2 linked regions of the Arabidopsis thaliana genome follow. The protein of the gene in region 2 interacts with the protein of the main gene of each other region in a biochemical or structural test. Each region holds a gene or a part of one and is shown on either strand. Other genes may lie near its edges.

Region 1 (10,699 bases), on a different chromosome or scaffold from region 2:
CATTTTGGTCCTTTTTATAGTATGGCTCTTGACCATTGTCCAATTTTTTTAAGCGATGTGGAACATTCTAAAATCGTAATTATTATCCACCCAAACCCGTCCTACCATATAACCCAGTCCCGTAAAATTAAACATAATTTTGTCATTTTCTTATAAATTTCAATATTATAAAATTTGAAACTTAAAAAAATACAATATCGACCCAAAATTCATCATTGAATTTTGATTGTTATATTTAAGATTTTTCCTGTAATATATCGTCTCGTATTAATATATTTTTTATATATTTATAATATTTAAATTTCTTGTAAAATTCAATTTATAATTTTAAAAACTTATACTTTAAAACTTTATAAGTTTTAAAATTATAAATATTTCAAGCATTTTTTAAAGATAAACTTTATAAAAAGATTTTAAAATTATAATATTTAACTTTTGATAAAGTTATAATATTTATAATTTCTTGAAATATTTTAAAGTTTCAATTCTTTAAAATAAAAAATCCGAGTAAAATCGGATAACTATTTTAATTTTGGACGCCTGATAAATCAAGCTTTCTGCTCATTCGTAATCAGAATCATTTTGGTCCTTTTATAATATGGGTCTGAACCATTGTCCAATTTTTCTAAGCGATGTGGGACATTGTACATATATTATTTCTTCATAGGTTGAATAATATATGTCCGTTTTAAAAAATTTAAATTACATCATATTCAGAAAAATATAATATTTTATTAACTATATATATTTTATATAAATTCAAAATAAATAAAGTATAAGATCAAATAAAAATGAAAGAAGATTTATATATTTATGTTTAAATTAGGTAGAAATATTTTAGGAAATTAGTTAAGGTAAATAAAAAATATGGTTAGTTTAGAGATATTGTTTATATTAAATTTGGTAAGTAAATCATTAATTTTCGTTTTTAATTATTAGGTTTTAGGTAACTTTTCCAAAAATTAATGTTATCCAAGATCAGAACAGAATTAAACATGTTATCCAGGATCCGAACAGAGTTAAACCGGGTAAAACCCACCCATTTGAATTAATTGTTGAATTATGGTTCAAATCTTCAACATTATCTTCAAAAATCCCCTCCAAAAATGTATATATAGATTAAGAAAGTTGTGCTTCATGAGTAAAAACATAGAATTTCATATCTTAATATTAAGATATATTTGTTAGAATTAGAGAATTTATAATAACTAAACTATTTGAATAATTTTTTTTTTGAATAGAATTTAAAAGCTTACAACCCAATAACAATGTATTTTACTAAAACTTTAAAAGAATCCATGAATTATTGACAATAAAATCTGAAAATTAGAAAAATTCATCTACCAATAACCACTCTAAAACATTTGTCAAACATAAAACACATTGGGTCATTATTTACTGACCATAAAAACAATACAATAAAATTCTAAAAGTGCAATGTTTACTTAAAACTTTTAATTTGGGCTTTTACCAAATACTTCCAAGTTCCAAGAACCAATCACAAAGCATATTATTCACCGTCAAGCTCAATCAGAGAAAGATCAAAGCTTAAAACTTTTTTTCCGGAAAAGTTAAAGAGAGAAAAAAGAATCAATCTTTTTGCTTGACGATTGTTACTCTCAGTGGAAAGGTCTAGTCCCCATTCTCATTTTTTTTTGTTAAAAATCGTATCTTTGGCTTTATTTTTGGTTATCTCGTAGATTTTGCGTGAAAAGCTTTGAACTTTATGATGTTTTGATTGACCTCCATTTAGGAAAATGTAAATATCTTCAATTTCTGGGGTTTAAGTGAGATTTTACGAGTGTTCAAGTTAAGGGTTTGAATTTGGGTGAAAACACCTGGTAAGCCATTTCATTGTTTCTCAGGACGATGAATCTGTTGGCCTTCGTCGTTGGATTTGGAATCATGGGTATTGTTATGGTAGATGGGCTAGGTGTCAACTGGGGAACAATGGCTACACATAAGCTTCCACCAAAGAAAGTGGTTCAAATGCTTAAGGACAATAACATTAACAAAGTTAAGCTTTTTGATGCGGATGAGACCACTATGAGTGCACTTTCTGGCTCTGGTCTTGAAGTTATGGTTGCTATTCCTAATGATCAGCTTAAGGTTATGGGAAGTTATGACCGAGCTAAAGATTGGGTTCATAAGAATGTCACTCGTTATAACTTCAATGGTGGTGTCAATATCACGTTAGTGAGTTTCTCCCTCTGCTTGTTATATATTGGTTCTAATGTGTTCGGTTGTGAAATCAATTCTCTGAAAATGTTAATCTGGTAAGAACATTGTCAAAATGTTTATATGTCTAATCTCTTGTGGATGTGTTTTCAGGTTTGTAGCTGTTGGAAATGAGCCATTCCTCAAATCATACAATGGATCATTTATAAACCTCACATTCCCTGCACTTCAAAACATCCAAAACGCTTTGAATGAAGCTGGACTAGGAAGCTCCGTCAAAGCGACAGTCCCTTTAAACGCGGATGTCTACGATTCACCATCAAGCAACCCTGTGCCATCTGCAGGAAGATTCCGTCCTGATATCATCGGTCAAATGACTCAGATTGTTGACTTTCTTGGCAATAACAGTGCACCCATCACCATTAACATCTACCCTTTCTTAAGCCTCTATGGGAATGATGATTTTCCACTCAATTACGCCTTCTTTGATGGTGCTAAACCAGTAGATGACAATGGTATTGCTTACACAAACGTTTTCGATGCCAATTTCGACACTTTGGTATCGGCTTTGAAAGCTGTTGGTCATGGAGATATGCCAATCATCGTTGGAGAAGTCGGTTGGCCAACAGAGGGTGACAAACACGCAAATAGTGGTAAGACATCTAACATTTTCCAGTTCTTTAGATGCAATGAAATGTTTTGAAAACGTATTTTTCGCAGGCAGTGCTTACAGATTCTACAACGGTCTTTTACCAAGGCTTGGGGAAAACAGAGGCACTCCACTGAGACCAACCTACATTGAGGTATACTTGTTTGGATTACTTGATGAGGATGCGAAAAGTATAGCACCGGGAGAGTTTGAACGCCACTGGGGAATATTCAAATTCGACGGGCAACCAAAGTTTCCTATAGATCTATCAGGTCAAGGACAGAACAAGTTGTTGATTGGTGCCGAGAACGTGACGTATCAACCTAAGAAGTGGTGTATGTTTAATACAGAAGCCAAAGATTTGACAAAACTCGCTGCTAACATAGATTACGCCTGCACTTTTTCGGATTGCACTGCGCTTGGTTACGGGTCTTCTTGCAATACTCTTGATGCAAATGGGAACGCTTCATATGCGTTTAACATGTATTTTCAAGTAAAGAACCAGGATGAGGATGCTTGTATCTTCCAAGGTTTGGCCACCATTACCACAAAGAATATATCTCAGGGACAATGCAATTTCCCTATTCAGATTGTTGCTTCCACAGCTTCTTCATTTTCTTCTTCTTTGGTTTTGTTGATCGCTGGAGTTTGGTTTCTCTTATCAGGAGTGATGTTTGAGGTTTAGATTAGTGATGTTTTTGAGGACTTATTTTTGTGGATATGGAAACTATATGTTTTGTCCATGTATTAAATTGCATAATATGGTAAAATTTTACTTGGAAGAGTGAGAATCATTTAGTTATGGATCCAAATATTTGATCAATGGTGGTCATAAGAAAACAGGACTCGCAAAAAATTGAAACTCTAACGGCAGTTAATGTACGTGATCAGACTAAACCGGTCCAATGTCATTTTAATGGTTCAAATTTGATAGCAACTACGGAACCACAAACCAATTACACTTAACCAAACAACTAATTGGTCTTTAGTCAGGAGCAAGATCCTAAGAAAAACAAAGAAAAGGTTTCTTAACCTCTGCAATAATCTGACTGACACATTTCGGTACCTCTTTAGGGTATCGAGCCAAATCAAGAAACTGTAAGGAGTTTTACAATGAACTGCTACGAAATGTGCAGAGATGGCTTCCAAATTGAGAGATGACATCAACAATACCTCCATAACCTCCCACAGCAACTACCTGCAAATACAAAAGAATTGGATCAACGGTTAAACATTGAGTTTCTAGTCCAGAAGGGGTAACATATTTGCAGAATATTAGCAGTAACATAGGAAATGGGAGAAAAGCAAACACATATATAGGAAATGGGGAGAAAAGAAGGGATTGGAAACATACTCCTGCTGGATGCAAGGAAATGGAAAATACTGAACAAGGAGCACAGTGAATTTGAGAAAGCAAAGCTCCATTTAAGTCGAAACGTCTTAGAAGTGGTTCTGCTCCTACAGTCAAAATCTGATAGTGCGATACTTGTTAAAGACAACATTTTTAAAAAGATGTTTAAACTTTAGCACAGGAATTAAAACTAGGTGTTGACCTCTGTTTCTAGTTTAGAAAAGTCAGTAATTTTTTTAATAAACTTCGTTGAAGAGGGATGATTCAAAGAGATACTACATAAACCTATTAAGCCTTGATAAACAAATAACACCCACGGCCTCCCAAGGCTTTAAATTACACTGCTTAAATTTCAATCTAATCTTGTTCTGCTTACTTGCTTTTCATCAAACATCACATCCTGTACATGTGCAGGGATGGGTATTGTTTGTACGCATTCTGAGGCGGGAAGATTCCATAAAGCTAAATTTTTGCCCTGTCCACAAACCTGAAAGAGGAGAAAATCATACCAATAACAGTAAATACATGTTCAGTATTTAAACTTCTAAGTGATTCTTCAGGAGAAAGGAACTATATTCTTAGGTTACTGGAGGCAACAATCCCTTCAAACAAATAGCAGGTTGCGAAAATGTTAGATTATCTAGTTGCTTAGTTCTTACCAACCAGCTTTCACTCCCATCAAGGGCCATAGAACTAACGCGAAGGCGGGACTTTTTATCCTGGGAACCAATTACTTTAACACATTTTCCCGTTTTGCAATCTGGTTGACAAAACAGAAAGAAGCCCTTGAGCGAACAAAGCTTAGTCTAGACAACTAAAGTAAACCACATGAACCAAAACATAACATAGTGGAAAGTTCTGTAATCACCAAAATGAATCATCATAGAGTTGTAAGAAGCAGCCAACAAAACTGAGGAGCATTGGATCTTAAGTACCAACATGAAGACTCAAATGATTTCAAAAGTTCTATAACCACGTATGACCTAATACTAGAAATTACAGCATAAAGAAATATGGTCGGGAGCATGTTACCCCAGATTCTCGCAGTCCCATCCTCTGAACCCGTCAATATCTGGAGAAAGAGACTACAATCAGACAAAAATCCAAATGTGGAACTCAGATTTGGATAGGTGCATTTCTAATATTTATGGTAACATCATTACCTGACTTGCAGAACTACGAGAAACTACAGTATGCAAATAGTCTGAATGACCTTTAAAGGTCATTTTAATCTTACCACTCTCCTGAAATTGTTGGATACACATAAATGATTTTAGAAAGTTAAGATATCTGGATTCACATAGGACATACATCTATCATGGTCAAATACATACCACGTCCCAACAATATGCGCAAGAATCACCAGCTGCTGTAAATACACTTCCTGACTATCAAAACGAAAGAAGTGAGAGAGGGTGAAACAGTTATCCTGTGAGACTGTCTAACCAAGCAATGAAATTTAAATACAATTCCAACCTGAGGATCAACAGACATGGCATTGATCTCAGGCATCGGTGAAAGCGCACCCCAAGGACCTCTATAAGAAAAAGAATGGTGATTATACACACAACTATTACGAACACTGACATTTGAACCCACAATTATAGCATTTTCAGTAACAGAGTTATCAAGTAGAATAAAAAATGAACAAAACTCATACTCACTTGTGTTGTGGATTAATCAGTTCAAGCAATGGCTTCAGATGATTCTCTGTAGATCATAAGAAAAACAACCACTAAGCTCCAAAAAGCATCATTCATATCAAAAACCACAAAAATGGCACACACACACCTTTCAAATGAAGAGACACATCTGATTCAGCAAATTCTCTCCATTTCCATCCCCTAACTCTACCATCATCACCACAACTACACATAACCAGATCAAAATTTCAAACTCTCAATTACAATTCATCAAAGACTCATCAATCAACAAAGAGAGATTTAAGTCTCTACCTAAGTAGCAAAGCATCTTCGTCTTCACCATAGAACTTAACATCATAAGCAGGACCTTCGTGTGCCCTAACCACTCTCTCAGGTTCAGCCACCATAACATCTTGACCTTTCGAGTAGCCAAAACTCGCCGATTGAGACACAAGCGAGTTCAGTGAATGGAAAGCTAAAGTTCCATCGCTGGAGGCTACAACAAATGCGTCTGGATTAGAGATTCTCGCCGGAGGAGCCCAGGCGGTTCTGAAGACGGTGCGTGTCTCTATCTCTCGCTCCTTCAAAATTGATTCTCTATACTCATCTTCATTCCAGTTTGTAGCGTCTCCGTACATGGTCCTCTGCTTCTTTGCAATTCCCGGTGATACTTGCGAAACGCCAGCGATATTACCACCAGTGGTTTAGTGCAATTGACGACTGAGAGAAAGCAATCCCTAAACCGGCCGATTTAGTAATTCTGTTAATTATATTTTACTAGCTTGTTTTTTTTTTGTCGATCAAATTACTAGCTTGCTTAAATAGACGAATTGAAGAAATAAATTTAATTTTGTATCGATAATATTTGAATTCTAAATAGTAATATATACATATTTTGTAATATTTAATTTAGTAATTTTATTTAAAAACAAAATTTTAATTTTATACATTTCATTTTAATAGAAAAATAGGTAAAAAAACTCTCACATTTTTTAAAAACATGAAAAAAAATCTTACCTTTTTAAAAATAGTAAATTAACACCTAGGATATCTTATTCAAACTAACATATCCTATGTTATTCAATTATGAATTTTTAAAAGTATCATGAAATCTAATGCTATTGAATTACTGATTTTAAAATCTCCTTAAAAATCTTCTGTTATTGAAAACATTTTAAAGATTGGATTTTAGTGACTTTAAGAGACTTAAGTGGATTTTCTTAGTTAAAAATATATAATTTTAAATCTCATGGTTTTAGGTGGAATTTGAGAGGATTTTACCATAAATCATAACAACCTCCTTAAATTCATCCAAATTCTTTAAAAAATCAAAATTATATAAAAACTCAAATAACTTAAAATATAAGATCGAATACACCTCCTTAGATTCTAGTGTTATTCAATTTTTGATGATTTTAATGCAAGTGTTATTCATTTTTCTGTCAAAACCAACATTTCATTCAAATCACCAAACCGAAAGTATCAAAGGATAAACCTCCAATGTAATTGAAAAACTCAATTAATTTTGAATGCAGTATGAGTAGAGAATTTCACTTCCTCCGCGGAGATCTGTCTATTCGTTTTAGAGATTCCATAGAATTCAAGATTCAGATGCTCTATTTCGTGTTTAATGTTAATAGCACAATATGATGAAGACAAATCAATTCAAAATTTTTTGTTCCACTTCTTTTGGTCTTCCGTCTCTTCAAATTTTGACCCATATATCTCCTCATCTATATCTACCAAGAAAAAATCATAAAGAAGACTCTGTGCGTTTTTGTTACAATTAAAATCTCCACCTTTCTTTTTGGCACTTCCAGCTTTCATAAATCTCACATCTAGGGCTACATAAATCTCATTCGCAAATACTGATTCGGAAAAAAAATTGAATTCATCCAAAACAAATGAAGCCGTCCTAGACCATCTGTAAGCATCAACTTCTTAGTACTATTCACTAGAGCATATTTGTCCTCACCCAAACATAAGTTTGCCAACTTCTCGGAGATAAAAACTGACATGCATCGTTTGCAACTCATCTCGAAAAGAATCTGGTAGATTAATCAACATGAGAGATTTTTTCGGTAGTGGTATTATGTAACCGCCATCATCAAAACCCAAGCTGGTAAGTACGTCTTCATCAGAAAATTCAGGGTCCATTAATTGTTCCTTTGTTGGTTTAGGTTTCTTATTCTTTGCTGGTGCGATCTTTGGACGATAAACATTTATTCTAATACGTTTTTTACCTCGACTTTTCTTCGTCATACCAGTATTCCAAACTGTGAAGTACATAATGGCTGTTAAAAGCTAGAAAAATTGCAGTATAGGTAATGACTAATGGACCATGTAGTTTATGGTCGGCTGATTGATGAATACACATGTAAATTTTGGTATGATTGAATAAACGTTGACGTTTCTAGAAACGTATTTAGGGGGACCGCTTATGTAGTGCTTGCGTGAGACACAAACACATATGAACAAGGGAATGTGGAAGGAGAATCAAATCAAATCAAATGCCAAAACAATATTAAAAACGTATTTCGAAGATGTTCATAATTCGTTGTCCTTGCATCTTTTGTCTTTATTTAATTAACTCCAAAACCTTTAGTAATATTCGCTTTTACTTCCATTTTAATATCAATTCCTCTAGCTTACGTTTCGGTTTTACATTCGCCCTTACAAAGATTACTTTTTATTCCTTTGGTTTTTGATTGGAGGATCAATGAATGTTCTAGCTAGAGATCTTAAGTTTGGGAATCTTTCACATAGATCTAGACCTATGTTATGTATACTTAATTGTTCAAGTGGTCGTTTACGCATGCAATGACCAAACAAATAGTTTATTTCGTTTTAAGTGGGATCTCTCACTCTCAAAATTTTGTTAAGAGTCCAATTTTATTGGTTTGTACGTATATTATAGACATGTGTTATGTATATATAATTGAAAAGAGAGAATCTTGTTGCTCAAATTGACAGGAAATAAGAGTTTAATCCGGCGGAATCTTTCTATAAATTAAACGTAGCTAGTGGTCAGTGGATGATGATGATGAAATCTATGCATGCATCATCATATATAGACCCTAGCAATCCTTATATATAGACCCTAAAATCAGACAAACTGTTTCATATCATATCATCATATCATATAGTAATTTTAGGGACCGAGGCTAATATAACATCAAAATCATATGCATGCAAGAAGATGAAGCAAGTCAACTAAAGGAGGTAAGGGAATAGCAATAACGAAGGCGACAGAAGAGAGTGAGCACACATGGCTCTTTTTCTAGCATGCTCATGCTCGAAAGCTCTGCGTGCTTACTCTCTTCTTGTCTCCTGCTCTCTCCCTCTCTACGTCTATTTATCTATCTATCTATGGACTATGTGTATATAAATTAAATATATTTTATATCCACATATATATATATATATGCATCATGCATGCATGGCAGCAAACGTCTCTGTGTATGGTTAGATAGATATGACCATATCTTGTCTATCCACCTTTTGTTTTCACTAATGTTTTACCTAACGACACACAAATATCATTTTCAATCTTTACAGTAAAATAGCGTAAGTCGCCATATCCGTTGTAAATTGCCAAATAGCCGTTGTAAAGCTCAGAGTCGTACGTTTTTTCTATCAAATTACAAACACTAATCACATCAATATATATAACATAATAAAGGCTACAAAATGATCTAATTTTTGTACAAATGATGAGCTTTGAGTTACAAAGAGGAGCAAGGCACTTTAACAAAGAAAAAAATTAAGGAGCAAGACATAAGGAAGGTTTATCATCATGAGAATGAGAAGATTTCACGCATGATCGCAAAGGAACAAAGCGTGCGTATCAAGTTGCGGATAAGGGTTTGATGCCGGTCATCGGATGACCTTTAGTATTTTAAAGAGCTACATAGAAGAATTGAGAAATAGTTACTGATTTTTCGTCCTAGCAAATCTTGTTGTGGACAGAAATATATTCTTAAGTAAAAAAGTACTTTTCTTTCTCCCTTTATCTATGTTTTATCTATTTTTGTTCTTTTACCATTTCCATTATATTTATGTATCTATATTTTTTTTGTCCCCCACATTTATGCATATATCTAAAATCTACCAATAACAGTACTGTTTGAATTACTTGGTACCTTTTCATGCATGATCCATCGTCTAAGTAGCAAAAATAACAATGAACAACTGTTATCAATTAAAGCTGTTTTCTTTTTATGAACAAAAAAAATAAAAATCTAGCTCTATTATATATTTGGCTAGAAATAGAAATATATGTATGAATTGATCAATAAATCTTTAAGAAATCAATAATGACTAATATATTAGATGATTCATGAACTACTTGTCCAGAATCAGAAACTAAGTGATGGTGGTTATTTCTTTTCTTTTTTCCCTTTTTTCGTGTGTGGTATATGTGTTTTTCGTTTGATGTTATGATATTTTATGTAGTGTGTACATAATTTTGGACCTAGAATTCACATGACGTCTACATGATGCTCTAAACTTTCTATATGTAGGCTTCGCTCCAATTAAATATAAATTGTATACTAATAAACACCCAAAAACAGCTTGGGCTAAAATAAAAAAATATGATATCGTTTTCTTGACATCAAATTAAAAGTTTTGTTTGATTTGTTTCCGTTTACATTTGCATATTTAATGTTTTAAGAAATACAAAAAAATTCCGAAAGTATTATGTATATATAGCTTAGATCTACATATATGGAACAATTAACCAAAGATGGACCTCTAGCCAATATTGATCGTCTTCTATCATTTACACGTAGTGAGAGTATATATGTATTAATGTATGCTGTATTAGAATGTGTTAATAATTCTATGTAGTTAAAAAAAAAAAAGAAGTTATTTCAG
Region 2 (10,855 bases):
AACTGGATGTTGAGAGCTTGCCCGACAGTTTAAATTTGCTATAAAACACTAAAGACGAGCCATCGTTTTCATTTTGAAGTTCTGTTCGTTGTGTATTCATCATGGTTTAGCATGTTTCTCTACATGTATTGATGATGACTGAATTTAATTTTGATATTTTAGATATACTTTGTTTTCATTAAAGGGATAATGTTTATTGTCGTTTAAGTTTTTTTTTGTTCTTTCACACAAACTATAATTCTATGTCATTACTCAACTGAAAACTGAAAGTTTTGTGAAAAATCTATATTGAAATATAACACTGAAGTGGTATGAGATTAGATAATTCGAAACAAAACATTTGTCGAAAATAAAAGACAGCCAGCCATGTATAATATATATCCGCATCTTTCCTCGCGTGATGTGACGAGATTCCAATTCATCTGCCAAATGTTAGATAACTTAGTTATGTATACATATCAATGTATACACATATCAATGTCTTCCAAATCCATAGGAAAAGTTTCCAGTAGTAAAACTTAAAATCGTTTGTTCCTTAAGAGTGTATCACTTTGTGGGTGCATGTAAGGATGCGTAAAAGATGTATAAAATCTGCACTAGTGGAAAAAATCGAATCCTGTAACAGATTCAAAATTAGGAACAGATTTGCTTCTTTCACGTGGTAAATCTATATTTTGGTTTTTTTTTTTTTTTCTCAGAAAAGGAAGATCTTGGCTCAGCTCAAATCTCAATGTGCAATTATATATATCTAGTTTGCATTTGATCAAATGTAACCTGATATATATATTTCAAACCAAACTAAAAGGCAAAAAACTAAAACAGATTGGGAAAATTTGTTAGCGAATTAAATTGGACCTAAAGCCCGATATGTTCTAATTGGGCCGTAAGCCCAAAGTACAAATCTGTTCGGAGGCGGGAGCTTCCCATTTAACGGCCATTCCTCTCATATTTTCAAACTCTTCCACACATCTCCTCGAATCCAAACCACCGACTCGTTTCCTCGCAAGTGCGAGTTTTTCTCCAGCGGTTTCGTCAAAAATCTTCTCCCAACCTTTCTCCCATTCTCCATGTGCGTCGCACAGCTCCACCGTCTCGTTTTCCCACTCTGTCCAGCTCCACTCTTTATTCAGCTTTCCCATCACTTCTGCCACGCAAGAGCCGTTGCATGCGACCGTGCAAGGACGGCACTTGGCACCGTTTAACGGTCCACGGCTCGATAGTGCCGCCACTGGAACTCCGTATCTATATGGAGGGAAATCGTAGGTCCGATCAGTCATGATGCAGAAAGGGAGAGGTTTGGTGACGTAAGGAACACGTTGGGTTGTGAGCTGAGCCTTGAAAGCGGACTCGGAGTTCAGATGAGTTAACCCGGCTGAATCGAGGTCGGGAATGAGGGAGAGGCGAGAGAGAGCTACCGTCGAGGTGTTGAGATCTCCGACGCCGAAACGGTCGTTGAGACCACCATAAGAGGATCCAGGTGGAACTAGGTATTGACCCGGTATGAAGTATTCCGGGTCGAGCGGGTCAGCCCAGTAACCATCAACTCGGGTCCGGACTATCCAGTCGTATGTGAAGTTATTCTCGTTTTGGTATGCCTTTATCATCGTGATGCAACCTTCCACAAGGTTGAAGTACTGTAATAAGCCCTGTCATTGAGACCAATAAGAAAACACACATGAGAAAATAATGGATTAACAAAATAATAATAATAATATAACAGAAACAAATTACTCGATGTTAAAATGCTAGTTTTACTAGACTACTTATATTATCATGTTAAAATCACTTTTTCAAACATGAAATGTCAAAATGTTCTAAAATGTTATGAATAATATCAACTCAATAAACGTAAATTGATACTCAACAAAAGTTTATACCAATGTATATATATATTTATAATACTTAATGCCATACTGCGCATTAACCATTTACTTGATAAAAAATACACGAAAAAGCTTACGGATTCACATCATCACCACGCCACACATTAGCATCATCATGCCACGCATTAGCCATTTCGTAAAATTATTACCATAAATTAAAAAAATACAAGAAAAAACAGAATACCTTTTTCCATACAAACAATATACTATGTGAATTTACAAGCTGTCAGATTAATCAAGATCTTCTTTATCAGGAAACGTGGGTCCGGATAAGGTAAGGGGTCAATTTCAGTCTCGGACTAGTCGGCTACAAAATCTTGCGAGTTGCTAAACAATAGAAATTTCAAAGATAATCATAACTTCAATCTCAACCTAACAGTCTCATACTATTAACTATAGAACCCGAATCGAGAAAGAGGCAATAACTCATAGTATTAACAAATATAGTCAACAATTAATTGCTATCACACCCATATCTTAGAGACATCCGTTAATACCTTTAGAAGCGTCATTTTTGACCGCAATTTTGTTATAAAGTAACGAGGAAATAAAAAAGAATATCATATTGGATGGGATTGTGACAACATCAAATACCAAACCCATCATCAAACAAAAAATCCCTTCACATGAGTAACGTACGGATCAAGAAACGGTTACACCAACCCTAAACCTCTCCAACTAAACGGAGGTCCCCGCTCCTGATCACTTTCTTATCCTTAATTATATATTCCCGAATTTTATGCACTTAAAAATTTAATGTAATACTCCAACATTTAATTAATTGAAAGTTAGTGAAAAGAATTTATAAGGTAAGGAAGTTCAAAAGAGTCGATAAATTACCTTAATGCCATTGGGCGAATTCATAGGTGTGAGGACTCGAACCATCGGCTCAGTCTCATTGATTGGCTTAGGCTCAAAGATACGAACCCAAGCAAGTCTTGGTGCGTCCTTAAGTAACCGAAGTTTGAAAGAATTTTTGTCGAGAGGACTATTAAGAAACAAATCAGCATTAGGATAAACCCTCAAGATCTTCTCCATAATCGACGGTCCGGTTAACTCAAACCGCCTCGCTCCTCCTACCAAACACACCGCAATCTTCGACTTAACCAACTCCTCCCTCTTCCTCCGCCGTCGATTTTCCATCTCCTCCGCTTGGATAACGTCGTTAGGGTTCGAATCTGACAATTCGACGGTGAAATCGGTGACGGTTAGGGTATGAGTGTAGATTAGGTTACGAAGAGGGGCTAGAGTTGGAAAAGGATCAAGTGAGAGAGATGAGAAAGAGATTAAGACGAGGAGGGTGAGAGATGGGATTATGAGAAGGAGGAGAAGACGACGATCGACGTCGGAGATTCTCCTGGAAACGTACATAACGGCGGCGTAAGTGATCGTAACCCTAATCTGTGAGAATAACCACCACCGTGGATTGTTCACACACGTTTCATTTGCCGAGAGAGAGATTTTTGTATTTATAGAGTTTTGATTTTCTTCAAAACTTTTGAAGTGATTCGGAGAGGCGCTGGTTTGTTGGAGTGGAAGGTGAAATCAACATTACGCGTGGGTTTGGTTTTCGTTTTCTCTTTTCTTCTAGAGAGAGATATGAAATATCTATGTAGCTCTGTATAAAACCGATGCATAATTAATTAAAATATACGTATTTGATTACGTTTTCAAAAAGGAAATGATCAATGTTACTTTTGTTTTTTTCACGTTTCTTTGTTTGCTTAGTAAATAATTTATGAATGTTTGAAATACTTTGGTGAATAGTTTTAGTGCTCGATCGTTACAGTAATCAATTCGAATAAACTCTTCACTAAATATGCTCGTTACAGTCTTCACGTTTATTGTAACTGTTAGACCCCCACTCATTGTGTATTAGGGGATGTTGACAAGTATATTGAAGAGATTGATATCTTGAAAGGCGTACGTGGACTAGTAAAGAAATGGATAGTTTGGGTTGCAAGAAAAGTTTTACTTTTTGTATTCAACAAAAGGAAAAGAAAAGTATTTTTTGTTATCCAAGATATGACTTTATGTAGTATATTCATTTGAGAGCATTGTATTAATTAGAATGTTCACATATATCAATATATAATTATATATAGAATTTGCTCTTCAATTGTAAAGAAGAAATGAGGTTCCAAATTTGTTATTAGTGCTCTAAACATATATTTTTATTACCTTAGAAATTAATATATAATATTTCTTTCTTTGCTTTCCCATGACTTTTTACTGTTTTTGGTAACAAGATAATACTTTCCCTAGTATATAAGATTTTTAAAGCTTTTTTGTTGTTGTTCCCAATTAGTTTTTCTCTAGTTTCTAGTCATAATTTATATTAATTCCATAGTTTATGATTATTTAAATTATGCAGTATTTTTTATTGGTTAAATTTTTATTAATGATAAAACATGTGATTTTAGCCAAAACATCTAATAAAATGGGACATATGGAGTACTACAATAGTGATAGATCTTTTATTTACCTGTTTATTATATATGAATCTATTCAATTTTCATTTATTTACATGTTTATTTAAATTATTTATTTAATTTGCATCTAAAATTTGCAAAACTATTGTTGGGCCATGAGTGTCAACTGTCAAATGTCAACCATAGAAGCAAAAATAAAACAGTTTATGATTCAGTTTGTAAAAGTGGGCTTATTTAAATGAATATTGGCCCATTAGTATCATCTTCACGAAACCCAGCAAAATCAGAGAGCGGCAAATCGTTGAAGAGAGATCTTCTTCTTCCTGAATCCGTAACGTTAGCTCAGGCGTAAGAGCATAATGCAAGGAGGATCATCGGGTATTGGTTATGGTTTGAAGTATCAGGTAGTTCACGATCTTCTTCATGCCCGATCCTTTGTCAATTTACGAGCTTTCTTAATGGTGGAAAATTTGCTGTTTTCAGGCCAGATGTATATCGGATGTTAAAGCAGATAGAGATCACACTAGCTTCCTCACTGGAACCCTAAGCTTGAAAGAAGAAAATGAGGTGATTGATTCTTAAGATCTGTTTCGTTCTATTTCTGGATCGGAAGATTCTGACTTTGTTAAATTTTAAGGTTCATTTGCTTCGTTTGTCTTCTGGTGGATCTGAGCTGTTATGTGAGGGATTGTTCTCGCATCCTAATGAAATTTGGGACCTTGCTTCTTCCCCTTTTGATCAACGCATTTTCTCTACTGTCTTCTCCACTGGTAATTCTCATCATCTCGAAACTTCTAATTTTGAGTTGATTTGAAGTAAAAAAAATCGGACTTTTCCGATTGAATGCATAAAGTTTCAGAAATTGAAACTACAGTGTTGTCAGAGGAGAATTACAGTGTTGTTGTTTTCAATTTCAAGGCGACTCATATGGAGCAGCAATATGGCAGATTCCTGAGCCATATGGTCAATCGAATTCTTCAACATTGGAATGTGTTGCTTCCCTTGATGCACATGTTGGTAAGATTAATTGGTGAGTTCATTGTTTACAGTTTCAGCAGTCTATCTACTGGGTGTGCTTATAAGTGCGGTGGTTTAAAAAGTCTTAGAACTTGTAACTTTCTTATCTTCACTTTCATGAAGACTCTCTATACCTCTTGTGGAAACAGCGTTCTTTGGTGTCCCTCTGGAAATTCTGACAAGTTAATCAGCATGGATGAACAAAATCTTGTCTTCTGGAGTTTAGACTCTTCAAAGAAAAGTGCGGAGGTGATTGTTGCTACAACAAGAGAAAGGATAAACCCATTAAATCATTTTTGCCTCCTGTGTTTTTAGACCACCTTTGAGGTACTTTCCGCTTAATCATCTTTTTTGCTAATTATAGGTTTTATCTAAGGAGTCAGCTGGTATGCGTCATTCTTTATCTGGTGGAGCATGGAATCCACATGATGTGAATTCTGTTGCAGCAACTTCTGAATCATCTATCCAGTTTTGGGACTTACGTACTATGAAGTATGTCATATTTGTTCCTCTCTTATGTTCGCATGAAAGTTAATATACTGTATTCCTGCATGCACAGCTAGCGTGTTTCCTCTAGTCAATAGTTTGTCATTATTAATTTTTGGGTTCCAAAATCAGATACCTTTATGTTGAGCTTGATATGTTTGCATATTTACAGGAAGAATAATTCAATTGAACGTGCCCATGTACGTAATGTTGACTACAATCTCAAGAGAGAACATATACTCGTAAGATTTCTCTCTCTGTATGCAAATATTTTAAATGCTTGTCAAGCAATTCCAACAAAGAATTACACAGTGCTCCAAAGTTAGAAAACAATCTGTTATATAGATTGCAAATGGGTAGGAACAAGGAAGTAATTGTGTCATTTCTGATTTAATTTTTTCTTCATAGCAAGAACTTTTTATCTGAAAGGTAGTAGGTCCCCTATTTACAGAAATGGTATCAGATGGTTCTATTTATGCATTGGACTGTCGATTGTGTAGGTTTCTGCGGATGATGAATCTGGTATACATCTCTGGGATCTTCGGAAGACAAAGTTTCCTGTGCAAGAGCTCCCTGGTCATACACACTGGTAATTTACCTCTAAACTCATTTTTGTGGATTATTATTTTTTCTCTTCCATGATTCTGCTTCATATGCACACAAATCTAATGCTTTCGACCTGAAATTTTGTTTCTAGCGTGACTGTTCTTTCTGAATTTTCTTTACAGGACATGGGCTGTCAGGTGTAACCCTGAGTATGAAGAGCTAATTCTGGTACCCATTTTCTCTTACCTTTTTTCTCTTAGCACAGTCGAACGAATCTAAATTGTTATTGTGCTTGTCACTACTGACAGCTTTAAGCTGCTAGTCGATGATTCTAGAACAATTTCTGTCACTCACAATGTATATTTAAAGTGTCAGTTTCTGATAAATTAACCAAACACAGAGCGTTGGAACAGACTCAGCTGTCAACTTGTGGTTTGCTTCAGCATCTAGTGAGCATAAAACATCAGAAAGGTTAATTCTCTTTATTATCGCACACAACAATTTTTCCAACTTTGTTTTGAACTTTTATTCTAATGCCGATGCTGTGCAGCCCGGTGGAAGCATCACGTCAGCGTGTGAACCCGTTACTAAACTCTTATACTGACTACGAAGACAGTGTCTACGGTAACTCTTGGAACAAACTGAGTTTAGTTACCACAATTTCCCACTAAAACTGCATGAAGTCACTATATAATTGCTGTCACAGGCCTTGCTTGGAGCTCGCGTGAGCCTTGGATTTTTGCATCATTGTCATATGACGGTAGGGTAAGTGACTTTGCTTTTGACAACAACCTAAAGAACTATGGAGAACTAAGAAATAGACGATTTATTACCCCAAACAATTCTAAATTCTGAAAGCAGTTTGGAGAGTTCATCTCATAATTTTGGTGTTTGCTTATGTTAGGTTGTGATCGAATCCGTCAAGCCTTTCCTGCCAAGAAGATAGGTCCCGATGGAAGAAGGCTTCAAAGAAAAAGCTGCATTCATATGCTATCATTTAAGACAAATTTTGAATGTTTTTATAATAATCACAACATCAAAACTATTCTTCTACAGTTCTTCAACTTTTACTCGTGTCTTTGTTCATCTCTATCTCTCAGCACAAGGCACAAAGATGTAAAACCAAACCTCGTGAAAATACTTTGGTACAAAGTCAATGAACCTGCTGCTATAATTCAGTTTATTGTAAAGAAAATATTCGGATCAAGTAATCACCGGTGTCATAATGCTACACATGCCTACTTGTTTTCCCTTTTTCTATAGCTACTTTCTCTGGTAAAGCCACAATTCCGAGTACTAAAATATGACTGAAAAAAATTGATCTGTCCTCAGATCCTGATAAACAAAACAATGCTCTATCGCGTGGTTCTATGTACAGGAGACATTACATGCAAAATGGTGACAACAAGGCTTAGCACCAAGGTTGGAAAACTCACTGTGAAGTGCCCAAGCAGAGGACAGATTCAGTGTAGTGATGTGAAGGTCACTGATGCGTATCTAACTAATCTGATAGCATTGCTTCAAGCTCAGGCTCATCAGAGGTAGATGGATCATCGTAATCTAAACTTGTCCCGTTGTATAATCCTCTGTCCTGAAGATCACTCTGTTCTTCCTCATAGTCTGGCTCCGACCAATCTGGGTCATCCTCTTCGGTTTGATCATCATTGGTTACAGTTACTGCTGCGTCTTTATTAGTGGATTTGTTTTTCTTTCCAAGTTTTCTAGATTCTAATTGCGCCTTTGCCTTAGCCTCTGTATCTTCGCATATGCACGTGGATGGGTTTTCGTGAAATTCACCTCTACCAGCTCTTACTTCCTTTGGCTCTCCCATGAACCCTCTCTGAAACGAACGGACTTTAGATGAAAACTCCTCCCATGTCGTGTTCTCTTTGTTCATGAATAATCTGTAAAGCTTTTTTGCATTCGGCCTAACAGTGGGTTTATGTCCTAAGTATCTCCTGCAAATTTCATATAACCAAAAGCTTAAACCTTTGCAATTCCATCAAAGAAACAAACTGAAAAATGCTTAAACAAAGAGATGAGCCAAAAAAACATAGAAGAAGAAGAAGAAGATGTTTCAGTACCTCCTCCCAGCCAATATTTTTGCCATATTGCCATTGTTGTTGGTTACAAATACGTCGCTTTCATCACAAACAAGGAAGTCGAGTGCAGCCATTCTAGAAGAGTACGAAGAAAAAGGTTCTAACTCTTCCTTTGTAGCTATAGTGTCTTTTGAATAGAAGTGTGGAAAGAGTGCTTTCAAAGGAGCCAATGATTCTTCTCCTCCATATACTTCACCAGACGCGACATATATATGAACATCACTGCCATATCCCAAAGCTCTAAGCATCAGTCCGACTTCTTCTGGAGTGAGTGGACATCTTCCTTGTCGCCTCTGTTTCTCTGGGTTGTTAATCTGCAATAAAATTGCAAAATTAGTCATCGGTACCTTGTTAATATAGAGTACAATGAATCGCATGTAATTTCTGAAACATTATACAGAATAGGCATTACATGTAATGTTTTCCATCTCCTTCTAATTGCTGCAAGTTCTCTCCTTTCCTTATCACCACCACCATAATAGCATCCCGAGAATGCAAGCATATCAGGTTCATACCTGCAACACAATCAATATCACTTGCGTCAAACACTAGTATTTATAGAGATTCAAGAGGTAAATGTAAAATATCATAATTGTTGACTAGAATATCAAAAATGTGATGGAGTCACTAGAGGAACTCCAGGATAAACATATTTATGTATTTGATTCCACTCGTTTCACGATGCAATCTCCTCTATTAGATATGAGTACTGAGGTTTACCAAAAAGAAAAAGCTAAGAGCATTCACTACAGGATGGTTCAGCTGTGCTACATGTTAATTCTCCCCAGAATAATGCCCTTGTTCAGTGACGAAGTGAAAAAAATAAAAGAAATACTAGGATTTAGAGATGAGCGGTGGTGCTACCTTAAATGTAAAGCAATGAAGTGTTTGCTCCTCAATCTCATGCGCCGGACCAATTCATTACCCATTGTAAGTATAGGATCAGTGAACTTTAGAGCATGGTAATTTACTCTACATCTTAGCTTTTGCAAGTCATCACTCAACTTGTTTGAAAGTCTATAGTCAAATTTGTTCAGTTGAACTGCCTGAAGCATAATACAGACAAAAGTGATATAAGAATAAATCGAGATGCTTAATCCAAAAGACAACCACTGCTTCAAGTTCATGTTTCGAAGCAAACATCAATATTGTAGCAATCAACGAAATGGGCATGCCAAAAAAAAGAATAGTACCAAAGACTTGTGAAAACAATTAAATGGTTAGACTTGTGAAGACAATTATTTGGACCACCCTAAGCAAATAGTCAATACAGACAACAAACAATTTGCTTAGACATATTTTAAATGCAATAAGTAAAAAGTTTCAGCGAAAGAAGGAAACTTACATGCCTTTTGAGAAGAACAGGTAAAACACGGTTAATATAGCATCTCTCGTTACATTTCCGTGGTACACGCATTCTACTTGTACTCCATGTACGCCCTCCTTTCAGTGGAAGTTGCTTTATAATTCTGACGTCTCCAGACAGAAATGAGATAAACCAATCAACATCGAAAATATGCGAGAAGTCACTGCACAAAAATTCACAAAGTTACAAAGATGCATAACGTTTCTCATAAGAAAAAGCTAAGTATGCTTAATCTGTCTCAGACCTGGCATCCTTCCAGTAAGACTTCTGGTCTAACTTGGGAACAACAAGAGTAGCATTTAGAATCCTTGCCGCAACAACTGCATCTACAATCTGTAGAAGGATTAGACCCATCAGCTGATTAATAGTAAACAAATGCTTGTATTTTGATAATCCATGAAGATAGGTATTAACAAGAGAAGTCAAACAAAACTCACTCCAGTTCGTTGTTGGTTCAAACCACCACTAGTGGCTATTACCAAGTATCGATCATTTCTCGTCACTGCTTTCGAATCTGCAAACAAGTAATCGGATTTTGTATGACTTGATAATCAGTGCCTTGATTCCATACTAATCGAAAGTTTCATACTTTTCGTAAGATCAGTGTTACTAACTAATGGAATATGATTAAGAGTGTTACGCACTTGCGAATTTGCTGCTTGCATTGCTGCATCCAAAAAAGAATTCAGCATTTCGTGAACGCCAGATATCACGATCTGATCTGCCTCCAGCTCTCTGTTATGGATCCAACTAAATCATCAAATAGGTCGGAAAAGTTTCAAACTTTAGCGAAGAATGATAAAACCCACTAACCGGAATATGGAAACCTGTAGCTTTGATCGCATCATTGGATGAGTAGCGAACGCGTGGAGGAAGGCGATCGGAATCTCCAGGAGGCGGAGCAAGGAAAGAGAGAAAAGCGAAGAGAATGAGGAGAGATAGAGAGACGGCGATAACGAGAGGAAGGAGACGACGGAGACGGTTGTAGTAAGGGTAGCGCCGCCGATGGAAATTCATGGCGGC

Evidence for each region.
Region 1: the proteins of DWA2 (region 2) and DWA1 form a complex in vitro, tested with the Arabidopsis thaliana proteins (one study listed by BioGRID).

What each region holds. Positions count from the first base shown.
Region 1 is NC_003071.7:8,410,977-8,421,675, reverse strand, and holds DWA1 (DWD (DDB1-binding WD40 protein) hypersensitive to ABA 1), read right to left. Parts: upstream 6,631-10,699; 5' UTR 6,460-6,630; coding exon 6,134-6,459; intron 6,047-6,133; coding exon 5,970-6,046; intron 5,889-5,969; coding exon 5,843-5,888; intron 5,716-5,842; coding exon 5,655-5,715; intron 5,567-5,654; coding exon 5,513-5,566; intron 5,423-5,512; coding exon 5,342-5,422; intron 5,251-5,341; coding exon 5,211-5,250; intron 4,939-5,210; coding exon 4,838-4,938; intron 4,666-4,837; coding exon 4,555-4,665; intron 4,299-4,554; coding exon 4,182-4,298; intron 4,026-4,181; coding exon 3,936-4,025; 3' UTR 3,682-3,935; downstream 1-3,681. Other genes in the region: AT2G19440 (O-Glycosyl hydrolases family 17 protein), read left to right, coding at 1,870-2,192, 2,332-2,831, 2,899-3,512; AT2G19420 (uncharacterized protein), read right to left, coding at 7,793-8,097, 9,344-9,454, 9,957-9,975. UniProt on the Arabidopsis thaliana protein: Acts as a component of the THO subcomplex of the TREX complex which is thought to couple mRNA transcription, processing and nuclear export.
Region 2 is NC_003070.9:28,605,689-28,616,543, forward strand, and holds DWA2 (DWD (DDB1-binding WD40 protein) hypersensitive to ABA 2), read left to right. Parts: upstream 1-4,504; 5' UTR 4,505-4,674; coding exon 4,675-4,719; intron 4,720-4,798; coding exon 4,799-4,882; intron 4,883-4,952; coding exon 4,953-5,085; intron 5,086-5,233; coding exon 5,234-5,345; intron 5,346-5,481; coding exon 5,482-5,581; intron 5,582-5,696; coding exon 5,697-5,824; intron 5,825-5,990; coding exon 5,991-6,060; intron 6,061-6,318; coding exon 6,319-6,407; intron 6,408-6,546; coding exon 6,547-6,592; intron 6,593-6,764; coding exon 6,765-6,835; intron 6,836-6,914; coding exon 6,915-6,988; intron 6,989-7,070; coding exon 7,071-7,129; intron 7,130-7,268; coding exon 7,269-7,310; 3' UTR 7,311-7,575; downstream 7,576-10,855. Other genes in the region: AT1G76250 (uncharacterized protein), read right to left, coding at 873-1,646, 2,724-3,254; AT1G76270 (O-fucosyltransferase family protein), read right to left, coding at 7,866-8,322, 8,449-8,780, 8,879-8,981, 9,331-9,512, 9,812-9,995, 10,077-10,165, 10,270-10,346, 10,477-10,567 and 1 more. UniProt on the Arabidopsis thaliana protein: Component of the CUL4-RBX1-DDB1-DWA1/DWA2 E3 ubiquitin-protein ligase complex that acts as a negative regulator in abscisic acid (ABA) signaling. May function as the substrate recognition module within this complex leading to ABI5 degradation.